Anolis sagrei: one gene and its partners. The protein of the gene in region 4 purifies or fractionates together with the protein of the main gene of each other region. This does not show direct contact. Links are inferred from orthologs where the notes say so. Each region holds a gene or a part of one and is shown on either strand. Other genes may lie near its edges. The genes, in order: RPP30, RPP38, POP7 and POP1.

Region 1 (7,426 bases), on a different chromosome or scaffold from region 4:
CACTGGATTTGCATTGATAGGTAGACACAAAGGGGAACAGAGCTTGGGTAGCCATTCCAGCTCCTGAAAGGTATATGTCTATCAGTCCTACCCAAAAGTCAATCAGTGGTGCAGATTCAAATTTCATGTTGCAAATTGTTTAGTATATATTATCTCTAATCCATTCAGGAAGTTTTGTCCACATTTTCCCATTGTGACTGTTTCTTTCATGAATTCCCAATTAAAATTTTTGAATGCTTTTTCTGCATCTAAGAACAGGAGGGCTCCTTATTTTTCACTACACTTATGAAAATATTCTATCAGATTGAGTATCATTCTCGTGTTCTCTCTCATTTGTCTTCTAGGTAAGAAACCTGCTTGGTCTTCATGTATCCATCCAGTTAGCACTTTTTTTAATCCAGCAGTTCTCAAAGTGTGCTCTGCAGAGCCCTTGGGGCTCTGTCTAGCATACTGAGGGACTTCGTGGTTCCCTTCTTCTTAGTTAAAATTGTTTTCCATTTTTAATATTGTATTATTTCTTTCCTTTTCCTTTTTTCTTGCACAATGAATAAGATATGTGCAGTGTCATTGGAATTTGTTAGATTCCCATTAATTAGATTCACGTGCTTTATTTAATTATTTAAATTTATGAAGTAGTTATTGTACTTGCCTTAGATGTTTTATTCTTGGGAGTATTCGTTCATTTTGTATTGTTTTATGGCATTGACTGTTTGCCATTTTTCCTAGAAACCGCCCTGAGGGAGATAGGGTGGGTTACAAATAGAGTTTATTATCATTATGATGATTATTACTGTTTTTTTTCAAGCAGTTCACACAAACACACTCCATCCATCTGCCCCTAGCCCAGTCTGCTGTCAAATTTTAAAATGCAATGTGTCAAAAAGTTTGCCCATGCCTGATATATGTACATAAAGGTAAACGTAAAGATTTCCCCTGACATTAAGTCTAGGCATGTCTGACTCCAGGGAGTGGTGCCCATCTCCATTTCTAAACTGAAGAGCCAGTGTTGTCCAGAAACACCTCCAAGGTCATGTGGACAACATGACTGCACGGAGCACCATTACCTTCCTGCGGAGCGCCATCACCTTCCCGCAGAAGTGGTACCTATTGATCTACTCATATTTGCATGTTTCCGAACTGCTAGGTTGGCAGAAGCTGGGCCTTACAGGGGGAGCTCACCCGCTCCCCAGATTCGAACTGCCAGCAAGTTCAGCAGTTCAGTGGTTTAACCTGGTGCACCACCAGGGGGAACATATTTATTTTTTATTTATTTACGACATTTATATGCCACCCTTCTCACCCCCAACGGGACTCAGAGTGGCTTACTATATATATATATATATATATATATATATATACCCACACATACACACACACACATATATACACATACATACAATATATTATATTATTAGCATAGTGCAATATCAGTATTATATATTACTATATTGTACTATACCATTATATTGTAATATTATTAGTGATAACACATGTAATATAAAATCTATAATTATATCATATTATTATTGTTATTATATATTATCCTATATATTATACTATATATACAGTATATATAGTATAATATGTTATTAGTAATATTACATGTAATATAAAATCTATAATTATAATATCATATTATTATTGCTATTTTATATTATACTCTATATTATACTATATATACATTTTATATAGTACAATATATAGGATAATATATAAACATTCTTGGGCTCCACGTAAAAGTTTTGCTTCCAAAAGAGTTCCATGGCTGAAAATGTTTGAGAACCCCTGCTTTAATCTATTTGCCTGTATTAAAGCAAATATTGTATAATTTGTGTTTAGCAATGAAAAGGGTCTGTAATTCTGTATTTGTAGGGGATCTTGATCTTCTATTGGAATCAGTATAATATTGGCTTCTTTGCAGAACCCCTACATTGCTTTTGCAGAACCCTAGGGTTCCAAGGAACACAGTTAGGGAACTGCGGCTCTAAAGCAAAATCATGTTGCCCTTGAGATATTGTTGAACTGCAATGCCAGCATTCCTTATGGTTGGCTCTACTGACCAGGGCTGCTGAGAAGCACAGTTAAAGTACATCTGCCAAACTTTTTATGATTCCCAGCCCTGCTGTAAACTGTCATCAAGAAAGTTAGCAGGGTAATGCCTCCAAGTACAAAATGGTGTTATATCCGTTCAAAGCATGGCACAAGGCTGGCCCTAAAGTTAGTGAAAGAGAAATGATCATCTCAGGATACCTAAGATGTCAAGCAGTTGAAGGGAGAATGAGAAAATTAAGCAAAAATTAGTTTTTCTGGGGAAAATAATAAAAAGTATTTTTTTAAAAAAATGAAAAAAATTGTTTTGAATCAGGGAGCACACGACTCCTCTGTTGCGCCAGCTCCACTGGCTGCTAGTCTGCTACCGGGCACAATTTAAAGTGCTGGCTTTAGCCTATAAAGCCCTAAATGGTTCCGGTTCGGCTTACCTATCCGAACGTATCTCTCCTTATGAACCTGCTAGGACTTTAAGATCATCCGGGGAGGCCCTGCTCTCGATCCCGCCTTCCTTGCAGATGCATTTGGAGGGGACGAGAGACAAGGCCTTCTCAGTGGTGGCTCCTCGGCAATGGAACGCCCTTCCCAGGGATATAAAATTGGCTACCTCCCTTCTAGCATTCCTCAAAATTGTTAAGCCCTGGCTCTTCAAGCAAGCTTTTTCTATTGGAGCATAATTAGATGAAAACGAATATATGGACAACGAATATATAGAGCATAATTAGACAAAACGAATATATGGACAACAATTTTAGTAAGGAGACGCCGAGGACTTTGTTTTTATAGACATTATTGTTTCTTTTATATTACATACTAAATGTTGAATTGTTTTTATAATTGTTTGAACTGTATTTTGATAATTGTTATGGCATCTAATCACTGCCGACTATGAACCGCCTTGAGTCGCCTCTGGCTGAGAAAGATGGTATACAAATGCGGTAAATAAATAAATAAATAAATAAATAAAAACAACACAATGCACATTTTCCTGTATTTATTTCCAAAACTTACATTATTTCTAAAAATGATGTAACTTTTAAAAATGTAATAATAATACTTTGTTTATATATTGCAATATCTCCCCAAAGGGACTCAGGATAGTTTACAACAAAAGTAACAAAGTGGCAAGCATTCAATGCCAAAATGTATGTATTATGTCCAAACATTAAAGTTTTTGTTTTGATGCTCCTTTTCTCAGTTCTTTCAGGGTCTTTCCACATAGCCATATCATCCAGAATATCAAGGTAGATAATCCACAATACCTGCTTTGAACTGGATTATCTGAGTCCACACTGCCATACAATCCAGTTCAATATGGATTTTATACAGCTGTGTGGAAGGGGCCTTATTTATTTATTTATTTACAACATTTATATGCCAGCTTCTCACCACAAAGGGGACTCAGAGCGGCTTACAAGATATATATAGGTAAAGGTTGTCCCCGGACATTAGGTCCAGTCGTGTCCGACTCTGGGGGTTGGTGCTCATCTCCATTTCTAAGCTGACGAGCAGGCATTGTCCGTAGACACCTCCAAGGTAATGCGGCCGGCATGACAGCATGGAGCGCTATTACCTTCCTGTTACCTTCTACTCAAATTTGCATGTTTTCGAACTGCTAGATTGGTAGAAGCAGGGGCTAACAGCGGGAGCTCATCCCACTCCCCGGCGTTGTCCGTAGACACCTCCAAGGTAATGCGGCCGGCATGACCGCATGGAGCGCCCTTACCTTCCCGTTACCTTCTACTCACATTTGCATGTTTTCGAACTGCTATGTTGGCAGAAGCTGGGGCTGACAGCGGGAGCTCATCCCACTCCCCAGATTCGAACCTGCGACCTTTCAGTTTACAAGCTCAGCGGTTTAACCCAATGCGCCACCGGGGGCTCCCACAAGATATGTATGCATACAATATATTACATTATTAGCATAGTACAATATCAGTATTATATATTTCTACATTGTACAATACCATTATATTGTAATATTATTAGTAATATTACATGTCATATAAAATATATAATTATAATATCATATTAGTAGTATATATAGTCCTTATATCCCAGGATCTGATCCCAGATTATCTCCTTTGAACTGGATTATATGAGTCCCCACTGCCATATAATCCGGGATAAACAGATAATCTGGGATCACATCCTGGGATATAGGGCCTGTCTGGAAGGGCCCAGAGTTTACAGAATGGTATTGTATAGTATTAGTTGTGCCTATGTTTAGTTGCTCTTAAGCAAGCACAAACTACATTCATTTGGCATCTACTAAGGATGCTGGTGAGCTTGAGAGTCTACTGCTGGGGGAGGGAACTACAATCCCCAGCATGCAACGGGGCGCGATGTGGGCGGGGCGTGGAAGGGCTGCCTTTCTGGCCTGGCTCTAGCCCACGTGGGCGGGTGCAACATGGCGGGCTTTGTGGATCTGAACATCCCTCACTTGCCGGAGAAGGAGGCGCTTCGGAAGTTGGTGGAAACCGCGGCGCACCGTGAGTGTGTGTCAGGGGCAGGGAATCAGGCAGCCTGGGAATGCGTGGGAATGCGTGGACACGTGTTTCCCTCAGAGATCCAGACCCAGGCTGCGATAAAGGGCTGGCTGGCACTGTTTCTCCTTTCCCTTTGCTCTCTTTGGACCCTCTTCTGCCTTAACTAATTTGTCCCTTGGCTCCGTAAGAAACACCTCCTGATGCACTTTGACTTGGGTGCATCTACACTGTAGAATGAATGCGTTACAACTGCACTTTGCACTAGATCAATACTATGAGATCGTGGGAGTTGTAGTTTGATCAGGTCTTTAGCCTTCTCTACCAAAGGGCCCTTCCAGACATGCCCTGTATCTCAGGATCTGATTCCAGGTTTTCTGTTTATCCCAGATTATCTGGCAGTGTGGACTCATATAATCCAGTTTAAAGCAGACAACTTGGGATCTCTAGGTTGCTGTAGGTTTTCCGGGCTATATGGCCATGTTCTAGAAGCATTCTCTCCTGACGTTTCGCCTGCATCTATGGCAGGCATCCTAAGAGGTTATGACCTCACAACCTCTGAGAATGCCTGCCATAGATGCAGGCGAAACGTCAGGAGAGAATGCTTCTAGAGCATGGCCATACAGCCCGAAAAATCTACAGCAACCCAGTGATTCCAGAAATGAAAAGCCTTCGACAATAACTTGGGATCTGATCCTGGGATATAGGGCCTGTCTGGAAGGGCGAAACTACAACTCCCATGATCACATTGTATAGAGCCAGGGTAATAAATTCTTCAGTGTAGATGTAGCCCTTTACTGAGTCATCATATTCATCCATGTAAGGGCCCTTCCACACAAACCTATATTCCAGAATGTCAAGGCAAAAAATCCCTCAATATCTGCTTTGAACTGGGTTATCTGAGTCCACACTGCCATATAACCCAGTTCGAAGCAGATAATGTGAGATTTTATACAGCTGTGTGTAAGTGGCCTTAGCTGCCATATAAAATCCAGATGATCCGCTTTAACTGAATTATACGACAATGTAGACTCATATAATCCAGTTCAAAGCAGATAATAATTTATTTCTTACCCGCCTCTCTGCAGCCAAATAATGTTGGTTATATCTGCTTTGATAATCTGGATTATATGGCAGTGTAGAAAGGTCCCCAGTTTCTGAATACAGATTGTCTGGTTTAAACGGGATTATATGATAGTATACATCCAGGGCCCTTCTACACTACAGAATATCAAGGCAGAAAATCCCACAATATCTGCTTTGAACTGGGTTATCTGAGTCCACACTGTCATATATCCCAGATCAGCGTCAAATTATGTTATGATCTTACAAATTAATCACCAAAACATCATGTTTTACAACAAATCAACAGAAAAAGCAGTTCAGTATATGGTAACGTTATGTAGTAATTACTGTATTTATGAATTGAGCACCAAAACATTGCAATGTAGTGAAACAGGTGGGAGGCAAACTGTGTTGGATAATACAAAACACTGGATGAGCGAAGGTTGGATAAGCGAGACTCTACTGTAATAATTAGATTTCTTATCCGCCTCTCCCTGCGGCTCAGTCATGTGGATTATCTGCTTTGATAATTTGGATTATATGGCAGTGTAGAAAGGCCCCCATTTTCGGAATCCAGATTATTTGAACTGGATTAGATCGAGGTCTCTTCTACACTGCCAGTTGATCCAGAATATCAAGGCAGAAAATACCATAATGTCTGTTCTGAACTGTGTTATCTGAGTCCACACTGCCATGTATTTCAGTTCAAAGCAGAAAATGTGGGATTTTATTGAGGTGTGTAGAAGGGGGCACAGAATATCAAAGCAGACAATCCACATTATCTGATATCTCTTTCCGCTTCTATCCCCATCTACACTGCCCTATCATGCAGTATGGTCAGTGTAAATGCATTTCAAGGCATTATATGAATCTACACTAACTATACAAGTAATGTACACAACATACTTTGAATGATCACAAATTGCAAAATGAGTGATTCCTTTTCTTGCTAACATACACCGAATTGAATCAGTTTGCACCAAAATTTAATTCCTTTGTGTTTGCTTGGTATACAAGGAGCACTTCATATAATCAATGGATTGTTATTTTTATGATGATTTTTTGAAATTACTCTTCTTGTGAAAATAAAATTCAGCTTATTGGCTGAAGACCTCTGAGGTTTGGATGTGATGTTGTCTTAACTACTTTATAATGACAATAATCTATATATATAAATTTGTTAGGGGCATCCAACGAGGAAACAAAACTCAAAAACCCCCCAACGAAACTTAACCAAAATTCCCATGCCCATAACACAACCCACAAGGTACAAACATATCTACTCAAAATGAAAAACAACACAACAGCACACTCACAAAACGGCAAAACAACAAAACTCAAAAAACCCCCAATGAAACTTAACCAAAATCCCCGTGCCCATAACACAACCCACAAGGTACAAACATATCTACTCAAAATGAAAAACAACACAACAACACACTCACAAAACGGCAAAACAACAAAACTCAAACATCCCCCAACGAAACTTAACTAAAATCCCCGTGCCCATAACACAACCCACAAGGTACAAACATATCTACTCAAAATGAAAAACAACACAACAACACACTCACAAAACAGCAAAACAACAAAACTCAAAAATCCCCCAACGAAACTTAACCAAAATCCCCGTGCCCATAACACAACCCACAAGGTACAAACATATCTACTCAAAATGAAAAACAACACAACAACACACTCACAAAACGGCAAAACAACAAAACTCAAAAATCCCCCAACGAAACTTAACTAAAATCCCCGTGCCCATAACACAACCCACAAGGTACAAACATATCTACTCAAAATGAAAAACAACACAGCAACAC
Region 2 (7,391 bases), on a different chromosome or scaffold from region 4:
ACGTTTGATGCAAACAGCAGAGCATGGGAAAGCATGAAAGGAGGGCAGCCAAATGCACTCTCCAAATAAATCCCTGAAAGCCATGGCTTAGTATTGCTCAAAATTGAAATCCCAAAATCCATGGGACAAGGCAAGTTCTGGGTGCCCCAAGCAATTTCACAACCTTTTTTCATCCTGTAACCATCACTAATTAATTTCCTTTGCATAATTAATTGTGTGGGAAGAGTAAGATGAGGTTATATATAGCTTATGCATTCAGCCCTGGTTACCATTTTAAACCGAGGCATGAAACATGCAACACTCTAGATCAGGCTAGGGCAAATTTGGACCTTCCAGAGCTTTTGGACGTCAATTCCCACCATTCCTAACAGCCTCAGGCCCTTTCCTTTTCCCCCTCAGCCGCTTAAGCTCCTCTCTACGTGGGGTTGCCTTTGAAGACTGCTCGGAAGCTTCAAATGGTTCAACGTTCGGCAGCCAGGATACTAACAGGAGCGGCACTCAGGGAGCACACAACTACTCTGTTGCGCCAGCTCCACTGGCTACCAGTTTGCTACCGAGCACAATTCAAAGTGCTGGCATTGGCCTATAAAGCCCTAAACGGTTCTGGGCCAAGTTACCTATCCGAACACATCTCCGCCTATAAACCCACTAGGACTTCAAGATCCTGTGGGGAGGCCCTGCTTGATCCCGCCTGCAACACAGGCACGTTTGGCGGGGATGAGGGACAGGGCCTTCTCAGTGGTGGCTCCTCGGCTGTGGAACGCCCTTCCCACGGACATTAGATCGGCTCCCTCCCTAATGGCATTTCCGAGAAAAGTGAAGACCTGGTTATTTGAACAGGCGTTTGGATAGGCAGTGCAATGAAGATATGAATAAAGGAAAACGGAACAACGGATGATGAGTTTGGATCATGATTCTATTATGAGATGCTAATGAGATGTTTATTGATGTTTAATTGCTTAGTGTGTTATTGTGTTAATTGTTTTTAAATGGCTTGTATGATGTTAGCATTGAATTTTTGCTGTTGCTGTTGTTAACCGCTTTGAGTCACCTAAGGGCTGAGAAAAGCGGTATACAAATGAAGTAAATAAATAAATAAAAGACGGTACTGACTGCATTTCCCATCATTCCTCACCAGTGGCTGTGCAAGCCAGAGATGATGGGAGTTGCAGTCCAACAAAATTTGGAGGACACTCTTCTCCTTCCCCATCTAAATGTATTATTATAAAAATATTTATTTATTTCCTCTTTCCTCTCTTAAAAGAGGATCAAAGTAGCTCACGAAACAGTACAATGTAAAATTTACCCTCTACTACATACAAAACATATTCAAAGGCAGTCCATAGTGGAGTGCGTTAAAGTGGATCGGCTCTTTCAAATGTTTTTTTTTAATCATGTCAGAAGCGACTTGAGAAACTGCAAGTCGCTTCTGGTGTGAGAGAATTGGCCGTCTACGGGGACATTGCCAAAGGCGACGCCCTGGATGTGTTACCATCCTGTGGGAGGCTTCTCTCATGTCCCTGCATGGCAAGGTGGAGCTAACAGACAGGAGCTCACCCCATCTCATGGATTCAAACTGCTGATCTTCAGGCCAGCAGTTCAGCCGGCACAAGGGTTGAACCCATTGCACCCCCCCCCCAGCTCCTAATGATCTTAGTGACAACTGCTGATGCGAGTTGTAGTTCAGCACCACAGGAATAGCACTGGTATGTGACTCCTGTGTCTACAAGCCTGGGCGTAAGAGAATGCAAAGCCATAATAGCCAAACCCATTTGCTCATCATCAATATGTGCCTCCAAGGCCATCCTACAAATTTCATAGTGTTTAATTAGGTAAGGTGGTTTTGCTAATTCCTGCCACTGAAACATAGCCTACAGCATCTGTTATATGGTGGTCTCCCATCCAAGCACTAACCAAGGCTGGCCCTCCTTAGCTCACACAGTATCTGGCGCATTTAGGGTATTCAGGCATGTGAAGAGTGTATCCCATATCACTGTTAACCTGTCAAATTAGAGCCAGTCCTGGGACTTAGCTCAGGTAATAAAGCATTATAGTCTTATATGGGAACAAAACTTTTAAAATTCAGAATTATTCTATACTGGGGAAGTAATGAAGTTTAACAACCAACCCTCTGCATGCCCTGAGTTTATACTAGAGAATATCGGGAGTTGAAGTTTGACAAGGTTTTCAGCATTCAAATAGGAATGACACAGAAAACTACAACTCCCAGGACTCCACAGCATTGAGCCAAGTGGTGTCAAACAGCATTCAATTCTGCAGTGCAGATGAATCACCCCCCAAAAAATAAGCTCCTTTATTTTCTTACCTGGAGAGGCATGCTGCTAAATTCCTGAATGAAAGGCACCACCTCACTCACTCTCCTACCAAAAGTGCCTCTGCTCTCCAATTCTGACTGCTTTTGCAGCAGCCCCTTTTATATCCCCGGCTTCAGACCGTTCTCGCCCCTCATTGGTCCAGGGCCATTGTGACGTCACTCACGCAGTCTTCCAAAACAAAGCACCAGCGAGGAGGCGTCTGCTGCCTTGGAGGAGAGGAAGGCAGTAACTGATCTAATGTAACGCGTTACTGGCTGCAGAGTAACGAGTTACCAACGAGTGAGGGTTCCACTAAACAGGGCAACCATATCCTGTTTCAATGGGATTTTCTACACTGCAGAATCGAAGTAGTTTGACAGCACTTTAAGTGACATGGGAGATGTAGTTTTCCTAGGGATAAGGAATCAATTCAGTGTGAGCTCACTTTAATTGTCATGGCTGGAAGCTATGGGACCCTGGGATTTGTAGTTTGGAGAGGTCTAGGGAGGATTTAGTCACAACCTCTGAGGATGCCTGCCAAAGATAATATATTTATTATACTGTATATACATATAATATTGATAATAATATTATAATGTAATACAATATAATACTACTAATAATATTACAGTATAGTGGTATAGCACAATATAATAATATATAATACTAATATTGTGCTGTGCTAATAATATAATATATTGTATACACATATAATATTGATAATATAATGTAATACAATATAATAATTATATAATTCATATTACATGTAATATTACTAATAATATTGCAGTCTAATGGTATAGCACAATATAGTAATACGTAATACTAATATTGTGCTGTGCTAATAATATAATATATTGTATACACATATAATATTGATAATAATATTATAATGTAATACAACATAATACTAATAATAATACAATATAAAATTATATTTTTATATTACATGTAATATTACTAATAATATTGCAGTATAGTGGTACGGTACAATGTAGTAACACACAATACTAATATTGTGCTGTGATAATAATATATTGTATACACATATAATATTGATTATATTATTATGTAATACAACATGCTAATAATACAATATATTAGCACAACATAATACTAATACATAATACTAATATTGTACTGTGGTAATAATATATTGTATACACATATAATATTGATAATGTTGTTATGTACTGCAATATAATAATAATACAGTCTACTAATAATATATTTCATATTACATGCAATATTACTAATACTATTACAGCATAGTGGTATAGTACAATATAGTAATACATAATGCTAATATTCTGCTGTGCTAATAATATAATATATTGTATACAATATAATATTGATAATATTATAATGTAATACAATATAATAATTATATATTCCATATTACATGTAATATTACTAATAATATTACAATATACTAGTAGAGTACTATATGGGAATGTATGTTACTAATATTGTGCTATGCTAATAATATAATATATTGTATTTACATATAACTTGTAAGCTGCTCTGAGTCCCCTTTGGGGTGAGAAGGGCGGCATATAAATGTCGTAAATAAATAAATAAATAAATAGATGCAGGCGAAACGTCAGGAGAGAATGCTTCTGGAGCATGGTCAAACAACTCGGAAAACTCAGCAACCCAGAGGCTAAACATCTGGAGGGACTTGAGTTTGCCCATACCTGACCTAAACTCTAGAATGAATGCAGTTTGACACCACTTTATCTGACATGGCTCAATGCTATAGACTAGTGGGAGTTGTAATTTAGTTAGATATCTACATTATTTGGCAGAGAAGGCGAGAGACCTTATAAAACTACAACTTCCAGGATTACAGAGCATTGAGCCACGGCAATCAAAGCGGAACCAAACTGCATTAATGCTGCAGTGTAGATGCTCCCAGAAGGAAGCCCAGTTCAGCACAGTGGGAGTAGTAAACAAAGGCATGCGGTGAAAACATGGCCCCACAGCGCCCTCTAGAGGCCAGTGGAGGGAGAACAGCCACTGACTCACTTCTGCTTTGTAGACTCCGCCTAAAATTGAGCCGGAGAGCCAGCCTCTTCCGCTTCCCTTCCAGCACAACCGTGTGAGTACAATCACTTTGCCTTTTTGCGTGTTTTTAGAGGGTTTTAGAAACTGAGAATCGGAGTAGCATTTGTGGGAAGAGGGGGGAAACCAGGTTAGGTGCTGTTTAGCAGGGCGAGAGTCTGCTGGTGATCCCTGGGCATGTTTTTAAAGCAGCCATGGCAGCCACGTGTGCTCTGGGGTGCATCCACACTGCAGAATTGGCGCAGTTCGACACCACTTAATGTGCCATGCAATGGGATCTTGGGTTTGTAGCTGTACACGATCTTCAGGGCTGGTTCCTCACCAAGCTACAACTCCCAGGATTTCATAGTGTTGAGCCCTGGGAGTTGAAAAGTGGTATCAAACTGCGTTAACTCAACAGTGTAGATGCACCCTATTACCACTCCATGAATTTGAGAGGGTTTTCTTAGGCAAGGAATACTCAGAATAGTCCTGAGTCTAGACCCGAGTTTGTATTATTATTGTTATTATTATTAGTGTTTTTGCCAGTTCTTCTGAAAATGCATCCTAAAGCTTGGTATTCCTTGGCAGCCTCCCATCCAAGGACTAACCATGGCTGACCCTGCTTAGCTTCTAATTTCAGGCAGTAATTGGTGCTTTTCATGACCTGCTTATTCGATTTGGGACAATGAATAATAAGAATTTCAGGTTAGAAGAAAGGCGAGCAAGGTCGAAAACCCCACTAAGCCTGAAGTTTCTCGCTGTTTCTCAAACATGAACATTTGTGCGTTATGTTTGGTACTCCCCTACCCTCAAAAGGTTGGCGGTTTCAATTTGAGGAGCAGGGTGAGTTCCTTCTATTAGGCCCAGCTTCTGCCAACCGAACAAATTGAAAACATGCAATTGTGAGTAGATCAATAGTTACCGCTTCTGCGGGAAGGTAACGGCGCTCCATGCAGTCATGTCGGCCACATGACCTAGGTGTCTACGGACAACGCCACACCCCAGAGTTGCACTCGGCTAGACTTAATGTCAGGAAACCTTTACCTTTACCTAACCCCAAATATTCCCAAGATTTTCAGTATTATTTTTACATTCAGGAAGCGACCAGGCTTTGAAGCTGCAAGGCCATTCAATGCTAATCAAGGTGATCATTTGCAACATTCACGCTTGCCTCAAACAGACAAGAGTCCTTTCTCCCACCCTGGACATTCCACAGATATATAAACCCCACTTGCCTAGTTTCCAACAGACTTCACAACTTCTGAGGATGCTTGCCATAGATGTGGGCAAAACATCCATTCCTTCTTTCCCATCTTTCCTTTTCTCCTAACTTCCCTCCCATCTCCTTTCCTCCCCCTTCTCGCTCTTTCCCTCCCCCTCTGTTCCTTTCTTCCTTCTCTCATTACTTCCTTCTTTCTCCCCTTTTACTACCAACATTCCATACATCATGCTCTGGAATCAATAGGGAAGATGCCACTTCTGAGGAGCCGCTGCCTTTGCAAAGAATGGCAGCGATGTGCCCTTTTCTCTCTGACTTCTGGGGCCAGGGTCACCGAGAAAGAGGAGAGGAAGGAAGGCGCGCAAGAGAGGGGGAGAAGGAAGACAAGCGTGCAAGAGAGGAGAGTTGGGTTGCTGTGCAGACGTGAGGATCCTGGCGAGAAGGGGCTGAAAGAAGGGCTTCTGGACTGTTGTAGGTTTTTTCCGGGCTATATGGTTCTAGAGACATTCTCTCCTGACGTTTAGCCTGCATCTATGGCAAACATCCTCAGAGCTTGTGAGAAGGGCTTCTTTCAGCCCCACACCTTCCTGCCAGGACCCTCACTCGAGTATAAGCCAAGGGAGGCTTTTTCAGCCCTAAAAAAGCTGAAAATCTAGGCTTATACTTGAGTATATACATAATATTTTCTTTCACTAGGCTCTTCCATGTTCAGATTCCACCTGAACATGAGGAAGAATTTCCTAACAGCGAGAGCTGTTCAGCAGTGGAACTCTCTGCCTCTGAGTATGGTGGAGGCTCCTTCTTTGGAGGCTTTTAAACAGAGGCTGGATGGCCATCTGTCAGGGGTGTTTTGAATGCAGTTTCCCTACTTCTTGGCAGGAGGTTGGACTAGATGGCCCACAAGGTCTCTTCCAACTCTATGATTTCCATTCCCAAAACAATATATGCTCTTTTTAATATGATGGGGTTATTTTCTGTGGCAGGCTCTGTCTGCTTTATTTATCCTTCTCTCTGCTTTTCATCCTAACATCAGAGTTTGGAAAAGTACCTTTTTAGTAGAAAGTCTCAACCACATTGGCTTGGGGATTCTAGGACTTGTAATCCTAAAATATACCTTTCCAAGTGCTGCAAGGTATCAGCACACAATAATATGCTATAATGGTGCTGCGAGGAATAAATTCTACCATGGGTTGTTGTAGGTTTTTTCGGGCTGTATGGCCATATTCTAGAAGCATTCTCTCCTGACGTTTCACCTGCATCTATGGCAAGCATCCTCAGAGGTTGTGAGGTCTACCATGTTCAGACATTGTAGTTGTTTGGTGTTGTTCTCAATACTTCTTGCTGTTTTTAATCTAGAACTCAAGTGTGGAGGAATCACGAGAGCATCAGGATGTCTGCTCAGGAAGGGAAGGGGACCCTCCGCAAGTCAAAACACATAACTGTAAAGACATCTTTGAACAATCCCTTTGCCCTCAAGTGGCGCTCTATGGAAGGAGGAAATATGCACTTCATATTGGAGGCTTTGGAAGATATTCTGAAGCGTCTTGCTTTCAAAAAGGTCGAGCTTCGGAGGCGGAAGAAACCCTTCCATGGGCAAAAACAAAAGAAGGAACAACGCTGTGCCGATATAGGTGAGCTTCAAGACGAGAATGAAAACAAAGAGGTTCAACTACATGGCTGGACCAACGTGGAGATCAGAAATCAGCTTGCCATTGGGATTAATGAAGTCACACGAGCCTTAGAAAAAAATGAGCTACGTCTTGTACTGGTGTGTAAATCTGCCTCGCCTACGCTACTCACATCTCACTTGA
Region 3 (6,951 bases), on a different chromosome or scaffold from region 4:
CCGCCAACCGAACCTGTGTTGCAGGCAGGATCGAGAGCAGGACCTCCCCGGAAGATCTCAAAGTCCTAGTGGGTTTGTAGGCGGAGATGCGATCGGATAGGTAACTTGTAAACCAGTCCAGGTGGTCCCAGTAGTAATAGGTAAACCAGTCCAGGTGGTCCCAGTAGTAATGGGCACACTGGGTGCCGTGCCAAAAGATCTCAGCCGGCATTTGGAAACCATAAACATTGACAAAATCACGATCTGTCAACAACAGGAAAAACTCAGCCACTATCAAGACCTCAACTATCAACACTGACAACATCACAATCTGTCAACTGCAAAAGGCCACCTGACTTGGATTTACACGCATCATTCGAAAATACATCACACAGTCCTAGACGCTTGGGAAGGGTTCAGATTGCGATTCTGTGATGCGAAATCCAGCATAAAGATCTTGTTTGCTGTGACATACTCTGCTTTTGTGCCAATAATAATAACATAAATAAATAATTTATTTCTTACCGGGCTGGAGGCGGGTTACAACATTGGAAAACACATAACCAGAACACATAATCATTTAACACTCCAAGGAGTACACATATTATAGTTGCATGACATGCATATTAAAATACACAGAACAAAAGTTAGACATAGATTATTATTATTATTAATAATAATAATAATAATAATTGAGAACTATTATTAATAATAATAATAATTGAGAATTGCAGTTTCTAAAGTCACTACTGACACAACAAAAATATTATTATTATTATATAAAATATAGTCACTTTGATGTTATATTATTATAATATTAAAAATATAGAACTAGCCGTCCCCTGCCACATGTTGCTGTGGTCCAGTCTGTATATATGTGCTTTGTGTGTGTGCATATATGTGTGTATATATTTGTGTATCTGTGCATATATGTGTGTTTGCGTGTATGTGTATGTATATATATGTGTGTGTAGATGTGTATATATTTGTGTGTTTATATGTGTATATGTATATTTTGTATATGTGTGTGCTTGTCTATATGCATATTTGTGTGTATATATGTGTGCATGTATGTGTGCATGTGTATATTTGTGTGTGCATGTGTATATGTATGTATGTATGTATATGTATGTATGTGTGTATATGTATGTATGTATGTGTGTATATGTAGATGTATGTGTGCATGTGTATATGTATATGAGTGTAAGTGTGTGTGTATGTATATGTGTGTATGTGTGTATATATGTGTGTATCTATCTATCTATCTGCTGGTTTGTTTGTTTTTTTGTATTTTTAGGGTGATGGTCACTTGTTGGTCTGATAGTTGTTTTGTGTCTAAATTTGGTGTCAATTCGTCCAGTAGTTTTTGAGTTATGCTAATCCCGCAAACAAACATTACATTTTTATTTATATAGATAATATAGTGATAATAATATATTTTATTATGATTATTATTATGTCTATTTATATTCCATATTTCTCTCCAGCAAGGAGAATCCCCCCCCCTTAAGAGGCCTCTTTGAAACATTCCCCCCAACCCAAAATCCCCCTTACAAACTAGTATTGGACTGCATTTCCCAGCCCCTTGAGGACTACAACTCCCATTATCCCTCAGACCCAGTTTTGGACTATAGCTCCTCTAATTCCCCACTTCAGAGGCCTGTTTAGCTGGGAAACTTTCCCTCCCAACCCAGCACCCCCCTTACAAACTAGTATTGGACTGTACTTCCCAGCCCTTTGTGGACTACAACTCCCATTATCCCCCAGAGCCAGTTTTGGACTGTAGCTATTCGAATCCCCTCCCTTCAGAAGCCTGTTTAGCTGGGAAACATTCCCCCCCAACCCAGAATCCCCCTTACAAACTAGTATTGGACTACATTTCCCAGCCCTTGGTGGACTACAACTCCCATTATCCCCAGACCCAGTTTTGGGCTGTATCTCCCAGAATCCCCTCCCTTCAGAAGCCTGTTTAGCTGGGAAACATTCCCCCCCCCCAACCCAGCATCCCCCTTACAAACTAGTATTGGACTGCATTTCCCAGCCCTTTGTGGACTACAACTCCCATTATCCCCCAGACTCAGTTTTGGATTGCAGCTCCTCTAATTCTCCACTTCAGAGGCCTGTTTAGCTGGGAAACTTTCCCCCCCAACCCAGAATCCCCCTTACAAACTAGTATTGGACTGCATTTCCCTGCCCCTTGAGGACTACAACTCCCATTATCCCCCAGAGCCAGTTTTGGACTGTATCTCCCAGAATCCCCTCCCTTCAGAAGACTGTTTAGCTGGGAAACATCCCTCCCAACCCAGAATCCCCCTTACAAACTAGTACTGGACTGCATTTCCCAGCCCTTGGTGGACTACAACTCCCCTTATTCCCCAGAGCCAGTTTTGGACTGTAGCTCCTCTAATTCCCCACTTCAGAGGCCTGTTTAGCTGGGAAACAATCCCCCCCAACCCAGAATCCCCCTTACAAACTAGTATTGGACTGCATTTCCCAGCCCCTTGAAGACTACAACTCCCATTATCCCCCAGACCCAGTTTTGGACTGTAGCTACTCGAATCCCCTCCCTTCAGAAGCCTGTTTAGCTGGGAAACCTTCCCCCAACCCAGAATCTCCCTTACAAACTAGTATTGGACTAAATTTCCCAGCCCCTTGAGGACTACAACTCCCATTATCCCCCAGAGCCAGTTTTGGACTGTAACTACTCGAATCCCCTCCCTTCAGAAGCCTGTTTAGCTGGGAACCATTCCCCCAACCCAGAATCCCCCTTACAAACTAGTATTGGACTGCATTTCCCAGCCCTTGGTGGACTACAGCTCCCCAAATCCCCCATAGCCTTGAGGATTCTGAGCATTGCTGCAGCACTATCCCCTCCTCCCTGGACTCTTCCCCTTCCCCAAAATCCCCCTTTTGCAAAATTGCTTTGCTTCCCACCTTGTTGTTCTTTTCCTTTTTTTCCCGGGAAAATAAAAGAATGCCCTCAAAAGGGCAGCTGCTCCTGGCTTCAGGCACGCATGCGTCTCGCCGATTTCCGGTTTCCGCTTGGAACGTTCAACGTAGAAAGGGAGGGAGGGAGGAGGGAGGCAAAGAGACCATAGATCTAGACTATTTTTTGTTAGAGTGATTCAGAGGAGTCTAACTTTCGGGTCGCTTTGGAGGAAAAGAGAGAGATGCAGCAAAACAATCTCTGAGTAAGTACAGAATTTGGAAGAATTTTACAGAATTACAATAATAAACTTTATTTATAATAATAATAATAATAATAATACATTTATAATTAAATAGAATTAAAATTACTGTACTGGAAAAATGTTGATTTGAAAATTATTATTACTGTATTAATAATAGTAGTATATTTTACTTATTTATTTATATATACAAGTGAAACAACTACAACAAAACTATGGGTCCTCCCATATTTTTAATATGTGTGTGTGTGTGTATATATTTAAATACATATATTCAATATTGTTTATATTTAATCCTGTTTTAATGTCTGCATATTGTATATTTTGAATTGTTTGCTAATGTTGTAATGTTAAGCTACTTTGAGTCTCCTGGAGGAGAGATAAAGCAGAGTATAGATATAATACAGTAATAATTACATATTGGCCACGGTAGTCCACGCTCTGGTTACATCCCACCTAGACTACTGCAACGCTCTCTACGTGGGGTTGCCCTTGAAGATGGCCCGGAAGCTTCAATTAGTCCAACGCGTGGCAGCCATGATGTTAACAGGAGCGGAGCGCAGGGAGCATACAACCCCCCTGTTGCGCCAACTCCACTGGCTGCCGATCTGCTATCGGGCTCAATTCAAGGTGCTGGCGTTGGCCTTTAAAGCCCTAAACGGTTCCGGCCCAAGCTACCTATCTGACTGCATCTCTGCCTATGAACCCACCAGGACTTTAGGATCTTCCAGGGAGACCCTGCTCTCGATCCCGCCTGCTTCTCAAGCATGGTTGGCGGGGACGAGAGACAGGGCCTTCTCGGTGGTGGCTCCTCGGCTGTGGAACGCTCTTCCCACAGACATTAGACTAGCACCATCTCTAATGGTATTCCGCAAAAAAGTGAAGACCTGGATGTTTGAGCAGGCGTTCGAATAACTAGTGCAATGATTGGTAATGAACATACGAATGGAACAATGGATGACGAATCTGGATTATGTTTTTGATAATGAGACGACTGTGATCGGTTATCGTAGTAAGTGTTTATTGATTGGGTAATGTGTTAAGTTGCTAATTGTTGTTATATTTTGCATTGAATTATTGCTGTTTGTATTTGTTGTGAACCGCTGTGAGTCGCCTTCGGGCTGAGAACAGCAGTATATAAGTAAAGTAAATATATATATATATATATATATATACACACACTACACACTACTATAATAATAAAAACAGTAATAATAATAATATATTATTATTATTACTGTATTTATTATAGTAGTCCTGCCCTGAAAGCCTTCAACAATAATATAATTAATATAATTATATAATATTAAAATAAAATAAAATATTATTATATTATATTGTAATATTATATTGTAATATAATATTATATTATTATTATTATATAATATTATTATATAATATTATAATATTATATTATTATTATATTTCTTATAATATTATATTATAATATTATATTACAATATAATATAATAATATTTTATTTTATTTTAATATTATATAATTATATTAATTATATTATTGTTGAAGGCTTTCAGGGCAGGACTACTATAATAAATACAGTAATAATAACAATAATAATTACATATATATACACTATACACTGCTGTAATAAATACAGTAATAATAATATATTAATATTATTATTATTATATTACTGTATTTATTATAGTAATCCGGCCATGAAAGCCTTCAACAATAATATAATGAATATAATAATATAATATAATAATATTATATAGCAATATATTATATTATATTATATTATATTAATATTACAATATATTATAATATTGTAATATAATATTATAATATAATATTATAATTAATATAATAATATAATAAATATATTAACAATAAATAATAACAATAATAATTACATACATATACACTATACACTACTATAATAAATACAGTAATAATAATAATAATAATAATAATATATTATTATTATTATTATTATTATTATTATAATATTACTGTATTTATAATAGTAATCCGGCCATGAAAGCCTTCAACAATAATATAATAAATAAAAAATATAATATAATAATATTATATAGCAATATATTCTATTATATTATATTAATAATATAATATTATAATATAATATAATATTGTAATATAATATTATATTATAATATAATATAATAAATATAATAATAATATAATAACTACAGTAATAATAACAATAATTACATATATATATACACTATACACTACTATAATAAATACAGTAATAAATAATAATAATACTAATTATTATTATTATTATATTACTGTATTTATTATAGTAGTCCGGCCATGAAAGCCTTCAACAATAATATAATAATATAAAAATATAATATAATAAAAATATTATATTATATATTACAATATTATATTATATTAATAATATGACATAATAATATATTATAATATTGTAATATTATAATTAGAAGGGAGCAGGCTCCACCTGACTCCATATCCCAGAACTGAAAGGGGGCACCCAACGGCCATCCAACCCAATCCAAACCCCATTCTGCCGGGCAGAAAGACTCCAAAGGCTGCAAAATGGGTTCGGAGTAGTTTCTGTTGCATCAACACAATTAGGAAAAGGTCAATTTATGCAGGAAAAGCTCTAATTATGAATCCAGTCTTCCCGGGCTTTGTTTACCTTACTCTCAAGTAAAACAAGAACAACAAACCTTGACTGATAATGTACAAAACCAGAAAAATAGAAAAAATCCAGACATTTATTATTTTGTTGACATCCCGAAAAATGCAAACAGTAAAAAGAAAATCCTTGAATGATTTCAGTGATCTGTTGAGAAATAGAACGACGTTGGCTACATATATAAAACGACAGAAATTTGGGGGTAAAAGGGACCATACATTTCCCTCCATATATCCTTCCTTCCTTCCTTCCTTCCTTCCTTCCTTCCTCTCTTTTTTCTCCTTCCTTCCTTCCTTCCTTCCTTTCTTCCTCTCTTTCTTTCTCCTTCCTTCCTTCCTTCCTCTCTTTTTTCTCCTTCCTTCCTTCCCCTCTTTCTTTTGTCTTCCTGCCTTCTTTCCTTCCCCCCTTCCCCTCTTTCCTTCCTTCCTTCCTTCCTTCTATCCTTCCCCTTTTTCTTTCTCCTTCCTTCCCCTCTTTTTTCTCCTTCCTTCCTTCCTTCCTTCCTTCCCCTCTTCCTTTCTCCTTCCTTCCTTCCTTCTTTCCTTCCTTCCTTCCTTCCTTCCCCTCTTTCCTTCCTTCCTTCCTTCCTTCCTTCCTTCCTTCCTTCCCCTCTTTCTTTTTCCTTCCTTCCTTCCCCTCTTTCCTTCCTTCCTTCCTTCCCCTCTTTCTTTTTCCTTCCTTCCTTCCCCTCTTTCCTTCCTTCCTTCCTTCCTTCCTTCCTTCCTTCCTTCTTTCCTTCCTTCCCCTCTTTTTTCTCCTTCCTTCCTTCCTTCCTTCCCCTCTTTCTTTCTCCTTCCTTCCTTCCTTCCTTCCTTCCTTCCTCCCCTCCCCTCTTTCTTTCTCCTTCCTTCCTTCCTTCCTTCCTTCCTTCCTTCCTTCCTTCCCCTCTTTCTTTCTCCTTCCTTCCTTCCTTCCTTCCTTCCTTCCTTCCTTCCTTCCCCTCTTTCCTTCTCCTTCCTTCCTTCCTTCCTTCCTTCCTTCCTTCCTTCCTTCCTTCCCCTCTTTCTTTCACCTTCCTTCCTTCCTTCTTTCCTTCCTTCCTTCCCCTCTTTCTTTTTCCTTCCTTCCTTCCCCTCTTTTTTCTCCTTCCTTCCTTCCTTCCTTCCTTCCTTCCTTCCTTCTTTCCTTCCT
Region 4 (6,932 bases):
CAGCAAATGCATTAAGCTCCAGGAGAGAAACATGTAAGGCACTTGCAGTCAGAGAAGCTGATGAATACCTAAAAGAATACATCCTGATCTAGTGAAAGAAATTACACTAAATATATCACAAGTGGACTGCTGCAAAAGAATAGACCTAGCAACTGATACTTATCTCAATGTTTGGTTAGTTCAATACTGACAGTTTTTTGTCTTCTATTATCTTGGATCCACTATCCTCAAACTGCAGAGCCAGATGCTGAGTCAACGTAGGCCCCTTTCAGTAGTATTGGTTGGAAAAAGCCACCCATTTATGCACCTTAGCTTATGGAGGAGGAGTAATACATCTTTTATATACTCTTGCCCAGATATTGGACACCTACCTCAGCTCGTTGGAAGCCATAAACTACATTATGCTTTTAATGTTTTCTTGGTCTAACTTGTAACATGTGGGATTTTATCGCAGTAAATGTATGTGATGTGTTAGATTATGTTTATTTAAGTTTTAATTTTGAGGGTTTTTTTTTTGTTTAGTTCATAGGCTTATATTGAGATTGTCGTATCTATTGTTTCTGGTTTGATTTGTTGTTCATCTGTTTTTGGCACTGAATGTTTGCTATTTTGTTAGTCCCTGAAAACTGCCCTGAATCCCCTCGCATTGATAGGGCAGGTTACAAATAAAGTATTATTATGATTATGATTACTTTTCCAGGCTGGGTCTACACTGCCCTATAATTCATTTATTTATTTGCAGTATTTCTATCCCACCTGTCTCAGCTCAAAGGTGACTCAAGGCGGCTTACAAAATGGCAGCAATTTGATGCCACAACAGTCATAAATACCATTAAAACATTTAACATAACATAATAAAAATCCATATAAAAACCACATAAAAACCATTAAAAATATAACTTCCAGTTAAACTCATTTTCCATTAGCATCGTCTAAGCCGTTCCATGTTCAGTCTTTCATAGTACCATATTTATCTATTACGCTGTGTTTCCAAAAGCTTGTTCAATAAGCCAGGTCTTTACTTTTTCCCTGGAATGTCAGTTGTATGCTCCTGGAGCACTGCTCCGATTAGCAACCTGGCTGCCACCCGCTGGACCATTTGAAGGTTCCAAACAGTCTTCAAAGGCAACCCCACACAGAGCGTGTTGCATTAGTCTATACGGGATGCAACCAGTGCGTGGACTACCGTGGCCAAGTCAGACTTTCCAAGGTACGGGCACAGCTGGCGCACGAACTTTAACTGTGTAAATGATCACGGCGGAAACCAGGGGTTCCAGGCTCAACAATGAATTTATTTATTTATTTATTTATTTACAGTATTTGTATACCACTTTTCTCACCCCGAGGGGGACTCAAAGCGGTTTACAGATAAGTAATGGCAAAAAATTCAATGCCAGTACAAACAATTACAATTATACACTACAATTAGACATAAATTAAATTTAAAAATCTCCCTGGAGACTAGGACGCAGAACAATGGCTTCAAACTACAAGGAAGGAGATTCCATCTGAACATGAGGAAGAACTTCCTGACTGTGAGAGCCGTTCAGCAGTGGAACTCTCTGCCCCGGAGTGTGGTGGAGGCTCCTTCTTTTGAAGCTTTTAAACAGAGGCTGGATGGCCATCTGTCAGGGGTGATTTGAATGCAATATTCCTGCTTTTTGGCAGGGGGTTGGACTGGATGGCCCATGAGGTCTCTTCCAACTCTTTGATTCTATGATCCATGAGCAATAAAATAATCATTAAAACAATAAAACAAGTCTCATCCATTGAATCGCCGTTCCAGTAGTTGTCTTTCTGAAATGCTGCATACATTTATTTCTACTGCCCGAAGGCCTGGTCCCAAAACCATGATTTTATTTTTTTTCTAAAAGCCAGGAGGGAGGGAGCGGATCTCACCTCATTTGGGAGTGTGTTCCATAGGCAGGGGGCCACAGCCGAGAAGGCCCTGTCTCGTCCCCACCAGGTGCATCTGTGCCGTTGGCAGGAGAGAGAGAAGGGCCTCCCCGGATTATCTTAGATTACGAGGTGGGACGTAGGTGTGGATACGTTTGGACAAGTAAGCTGGGCCCGAATCATATAGGGCTTTATAGGTCAAAACGAGCTCTTTGAATTGGGCTCGGAGATGGACAAGCAGCCAGTGGAGCTGGCATAGCAGGGGGGTGGTATGCTCCCTGTATGCCGCCCCAGTTAGTAATCTGGCTGCCGCCCGTTGAACTAGCTGAAGTTTCCGAACCATCTTCAAAGGCAGCCCCACTTAGAGCGCGAATGAATCCAGGATCACACCCAAGCTGCGAACCTGCGTCTTCAGGGGGAAGCATAACCCCATCCAACACAGGCTGCAACCCTATGCCCTAATTGGCCTTTCGACTGACCAGATGTATTTCTGTCTTGTCTGGATTCAGTTTCAATTTGTTCGCCAATAATAATAATACAATATAATGTATATATTGTACAATAAAACTATATAATGCAGAGGAAGGCAAAGACAATCCCTGCAAAATCTTGCCAAGAACCCACCTGACCTTGAAACTTAAGCAGAGACAGCCCTGGTTAGTGTTTGGATGGGAGAAAGGGGCTGGACTGGATGACCCTCTTTGGGGTCCCTTCTGTTGGGATGGACTAACTTGGGCCCTCCAGGTGTTTTGGATTCCAACTCCCACCATTCCTAACAGCCTCAGGCCCTTTCCTTTCCCCCCTCAGCCGCTTAAGCAGCTGAGGGGGAAAAGGAAGGGGCCTGAGGCTGTTAGGAATGGTGGGAGTTGGAGTCCAAAACACCTGGAGGGCCTAAGTTTGCCCAGGCCTGATGTAGAAGCACCCATTGTGGCCCCATTTCCCTTGCTTCCCTCTTCCTCTCAGTCTTATCCCCTTTTACCTGCGATACTGGCCTAGGCCTCAAATGAGGAGAGAATCAGTCAGCTTTCCCCCTCCGCTTCTCTTCTGGCCACGCGCGGCGCCCACTTCCGGCTTCCTCGAGACTGCATTCCTCCAAAACTCTCTCTCTCGCGGGAGGGCTACGGTGGGCGGGGAGGTTCTCAATACTGCTGAATGAATGGCGCGCGAGTTTTAGAGGAGGGCGGGGCCAAGGGAGGAGGACGGGTAAAGTCCGGGAGGCAAGGCTGAGTTCTTACACTCACTTGCTAGGTTTTCTTTTCGGCTTGTGAGTGGACTCAGAAAGGATCAATCTGATCATGGCCACCTTAGTGAAGAGGATCATCACTTCTGCGAAGGCTCCTGCCGCCATAGGACCCTACAGGTAGGAGTCAACCGTTCTCCTGCGGAACTCCCCGCTGCTGGATGCGGTTGAAGCGCGCTATAAGACTGCTTGGGAAGAGGAAGATGAGACAAGCTCAAGGGGAATCCTATCAGTCAAACAAGATGGACTTTGTTGCCTGGTTTGATCTGAATTGCTTTTGTTATATGATAATGATGCTTATTTATATCTTGCCTTCAATATATTATATAATACTGATAGTATTATATACTGGTAGTGTATTGTATATGCTGTATAATAATTTAGTACAATATAATAATATATAATAATATAATATTTATTTATTTATTTATGTACTGCCCTTCTCACCCCAAAGGGGACTCAGAGCAGCTTACAACATATATATTATATTATATTATTATATTATATTATATTACATTATATTATATTATTAGCATAGCACAATATCAGTATTATATATTACTATATGTATATTATTAAGTCCAGTCAGGTCTGACTCTGGGGTGTGGTGCTCATCTCCATTTCTAAGCCGAAGAGCCGGCATTGTCCATAGACACCTCCAAGGGTTATGTGGCCAGCATGACTGCATGGAGCGCTGTTACCTTCCCGTCGGAGCGGTACCTATTGATCTACTCACATTTGCATGTTTTCGAACTGCTAGCATGGCAGAAGCTAGAGCTGACAGCAGAAGCTCACACCGCTCCCCGGAATCGAACCTGTGACTTTTCAGTCAACAAGCTCAGCAGCTCAGCACTTTAACCCACTGTGCCACCAGGGCCCCGTATATACAATATATTATATTATATTATTAGTATAGCACAGGAGACAAGATGGAACTGCCTTCCTGGCCCCGCTCTCTTCACTCCGGCCTTCTTTACATGTAATATTACTAATAACATTGCAGTATAGTACAATATAGTAATATATAATACTAATATTGTGCTATGCTAATAATATAATATATTATATATACATATAATACTGATAATATTATAATGTGGTCACAATATAATACTAATAATACAATATAATAATATATAATAATATTGTAAGATGGTGATACTATGGGCTCTCCAGTGGCACAGCGGGTTAAACCGCTGAGCTGCTGAACTTGCTGGCCAAAAGGTTGACGGTTGGAATCGGAAAGTGGGGTGAGCTCCCACTGGTAGCCCTAGATTCTGCCAACCTAGCAGTTTGAAAGCATGCAAATGTGAGTAGATCAACAGGTACAGCTTCTGCGGGAAGGTGATGGTGCTCCATGCAGTCATGCTGGCCACATGACCTTGGAGGCGTCTACAGACATAGAAATGGAGATTAACACCACCCCTCAGAGTTGGACACGACTAGACTTAATTTCAAGGGTATCCTTTACCTTTATATAGTAATACTAATATATTAAATATAATTATTTCTGATAATATATAATGATATATTAGTGTATATTTGCATATTTTAAGTAGGAATGTTTTTGATGGTGAGCCGCTTTGAGTCTTAGTATAGAGAGATAAAGCAGGATCCAAATAAATAAATAGAGAGATAAAGCAGGATCCAAATAAATAAATAAATAAAATCCATAGATGCAGGTGAAACGTCAGGAGAGAATGCCTCTAGACCATGGCCATATAGCCCGAAAAAACCTACAACAACCCAGTGATTCCGGCCATGAAAGCCTTCGACAATGCATTAAATAAAAGTGGCTTGCAGCCCTAAAAGCAATATGGATTACAATTTAAAAGCTATAACATTACCTGCTTTGAACTGGGATTTATGGCAGTGTGGGCTCAGAGATTCCAGTGCAAAGCAGATATTGTGGGTTATTCTGCAGTGATATTCCGGGTTATATAGCTGTGTGAAAGGGCCCTAACTCCCCAATAGGAATCCACTAGTAAAGCACATGTGATTATCTAATATTGGTTTAAATGCACAATGAAAGAAGTGTGTGTGTGTGTGTATACATTAATTCTATGAATGTCTAGGTCTTCCGACACAAGTTTATGATCAACTTCTGCAGTGAGCTGACCATAGAACTGCATTAGAGGACTTCGAAATGTGTAGAACATAACATTTTAAATTCAATCAATGCATAATCAAAGCCACGAAAATCAAAACTGCAGAAGGACAACTGTATATCAATGTAGTGAAGGAGAGGAAAACTAGTGCTGGTTCAGAGGGTTTGTTATCTCTCCATTTCCATTTTTCACTGAATAAACCATTGATTTGTTCCATAGTCTCAAACCTAAAGTTATGATTAAGCTTAGTATGCACTGAGATTTTTTTCTCTTGTGAAAACAAAGATCTTTCACAAATGCAAGGCTTACCAGGAGGATGTAGATTTATCAGCTTTCGTTGCAAAACCAAAGATCCCAGAAATTGAGGAAGATAAATATTGACTTCCTTTCTTTTTTTTTTCTCTTCAAAATATATTTGAAAGTAATATGCCATTTGGAAAAAGGGCCAAGAATAAGGTATACTTACAGCTGTGAGTGACAAGTGAATGATCTTTACTTGTGTGTCAGTGTTTTGGGACTTTCTGGGGTTACATCTCAACCATAAAATTATTTTTGTGGCTACTTCATAACTGTAATTTTGCTACTGTTATAAATAATAATGTAAATTATGTGATATGCAGGATGTATTTTCATACACTGGATCAAATTTGGCACAAATACCCGATACTCCCAAATTTGAATACTGATGGGGTTGGGGTGGATTGATTTTGTCATTTGGGAGTTGCAGTTGCTGGAATTTATAGTTCACCTACAATCAAAGAGCATTCTGAACCCCACCAATGATGGAATTGAACCAAACTTGGCTCACAAAACTCCCATGATCAACAAAAAATACTGGAAGGATTTTGTGGGCATTGATCTTGCGTTTTGGAGAGTTGTAGTTCACCTACATCCAGAGAGCTCTGTGGACTCAAACAATGATGGATCTGGACCAAACTTGGCACAAATACTTAATCTGCCCAAATGTGAATACTGGTGGAGTTTGGGGAAAATAGACCTTGACATTTTGGAGTTGTAGTCATTGGGATTTATAGTTCACCTACAATCGAAGAGCATTCTGAACTCCACCAACGATGGAATTGAACCACACTTGGCACACAAAACTCCCATGATCAACAGAAAATACTGGTGGGCATTGACCTTGAGTTTTGGAGTTGTAGTTCACCATCATCCAGAGAGCTCTGTGATCTGGACCAAACTTGGCACAAATACTCAATCTGCCCAAATATGAACACTGGTGGTGTTTGGGGGAAATAGATTTTGGCATTTGGGAATTGTAGTTGTTGAGATTTATAGTTCACTTAAAATCAAAGAGCATTCTGAACCCCCACCAAGATAGAATTGGGCCAAACTTTCCACACAGAACCCCCAGGGTGTACAGAAAATACTGGAGGGATTTGGGGTGGATTGACAGTGATTTAGTGATGTAATTCACCTACATCTGGAGAACACTGTGAATTCAAACGACTATGCAAAAGGGGTTCCTAAGACCTTAAGAAATATGTGTTTTCTGATGGTCTTTGGTGACCCCTCTGAAACCCCCTCCTGACCCCTCCGCAGGGGTCCCGACCCCCAGGTTGAGAAACACAAATTTAGATGCAACCCTAGTCCAACACTTATCACTATACTACCCTGACTCTCAAGATTATACTAGACCGTCAGATATGCTTACTACATATAAAGGACTT

The links.
Region 1: the proteins of POP1 (region 4) and RPP30 purify together in Homo sapiens (affinity purification with mass spectrometry; 5 studies listed by BioGRID and IntAct, counting the BioPlex papers as one, with this or other methods). This does not show direct contact. The link is inferred for Anolis sagrei from reciprocal best matches to the Homo sapiens genes POP1 and RPP30.
Region 2: the proteins of POP1 (region 4) and RPP38 purify together in Homo sapiens (affinity purification with mass spectrometry; 3 studies listed by BioGRID and IntAct, with this or other methods). This does not show direct contact. The link is inferred for Anolis sagrei from reciprocal best matches to the Homo sapiens genes POP1 and RPP38.
Region 3: the proteins of POP1 (region 4) and POP7 purify together in Homo sapiens (affinity purification with mass spectrometry; 3 studies listed by BioGRID and IntAct, with this or other methods). This does not show direct contact. The link is inferred for Anolis sagrei from reciprocal best matches to the Homo sapiens genes POP1 and POP7.

The regions. Positions count from the first base shown.
Region 1 is NC_090023.1:184,795,398-184,802,823, forward strand, and holds the start of RPP30 (ribonuclease P protein subunit p30), read left to right. Parts: upstream 1-4,414; 5' UTR 4,415-4,459; coding exon 4,460-4,541; intron 4,542-7,426. UniProt on the Homo sapiens protein: Component of ribonuclease P, a ribonucleoprotein complex that generates mature tRNA molecules by cleaving their 5'-ends. Also a component of the MRP ribonuclease complex, which cleaves pre-rRNA sequences.
Region 2 is NC_090026.1:104,826,718-104,834,108, forward strand, and holds the start of RPP38 (ribonuclease P protein subunit p38), read left to right. Parts: upstream 1-4,363; 5' UTR 4,364-4,416; intron 4,417-6,936; 5' UTR 6,937-6,970; coding exon 6,971-7,391. Other genes in the region: ACBD7 (acyl-CoA-binding domain-containing protein 7), read right to left, coding at 2,327-2,338. UniProt on the Homo sapiens protein: Component of ribonuclease P, a ribonucleoprotein complex that generates mature tRNA molecules by cleaving their 5'-ends. Also a component of the MRP ribonuclease complex, which cleaves pre-rRNA sequences.
Region 3 is NC_090026.1:2,663,761-2,670,711, reverse strand, and holds the start of POP7 (ribonuclease P protein subunit p20), read right to left. Parts: upstream 3,027-6,951; 5' UTR 2,914-3,026; intron 1-2,913. UniProt on the Homo sapiens protein: Component of ribonuclease P, a ribonucleoprotein complex that generates mature tRNA molecules by cleaving their 5'-ends. Also a component of the MRP ribonuclease complex, which cleaves pre-rRNA sequences.
Region 4 is NC_090024.1:32,123,081-32,130,012, forward strand, and holds the start of POP1 (ribonucleases P/MRP protein subunit POP1), read right to left. Parts: upstream 3,021-6,932; 5' UTR 2,876-3,020; intron 1-2,875. Other genes in the region: RIDA (2-iminobutanoate/2-iminopropanoate deaminase), read left to right, coding at 3,192-3,256. UniProt on the Homo sapiens protein: Component of ribonuclease P, a ribonucleoprotein complex that generates mature tRNA molecules by cleaving their 5'-ends. Also a component of the MRP ribonuclease complex, which cleaves pre-rRNA sequences.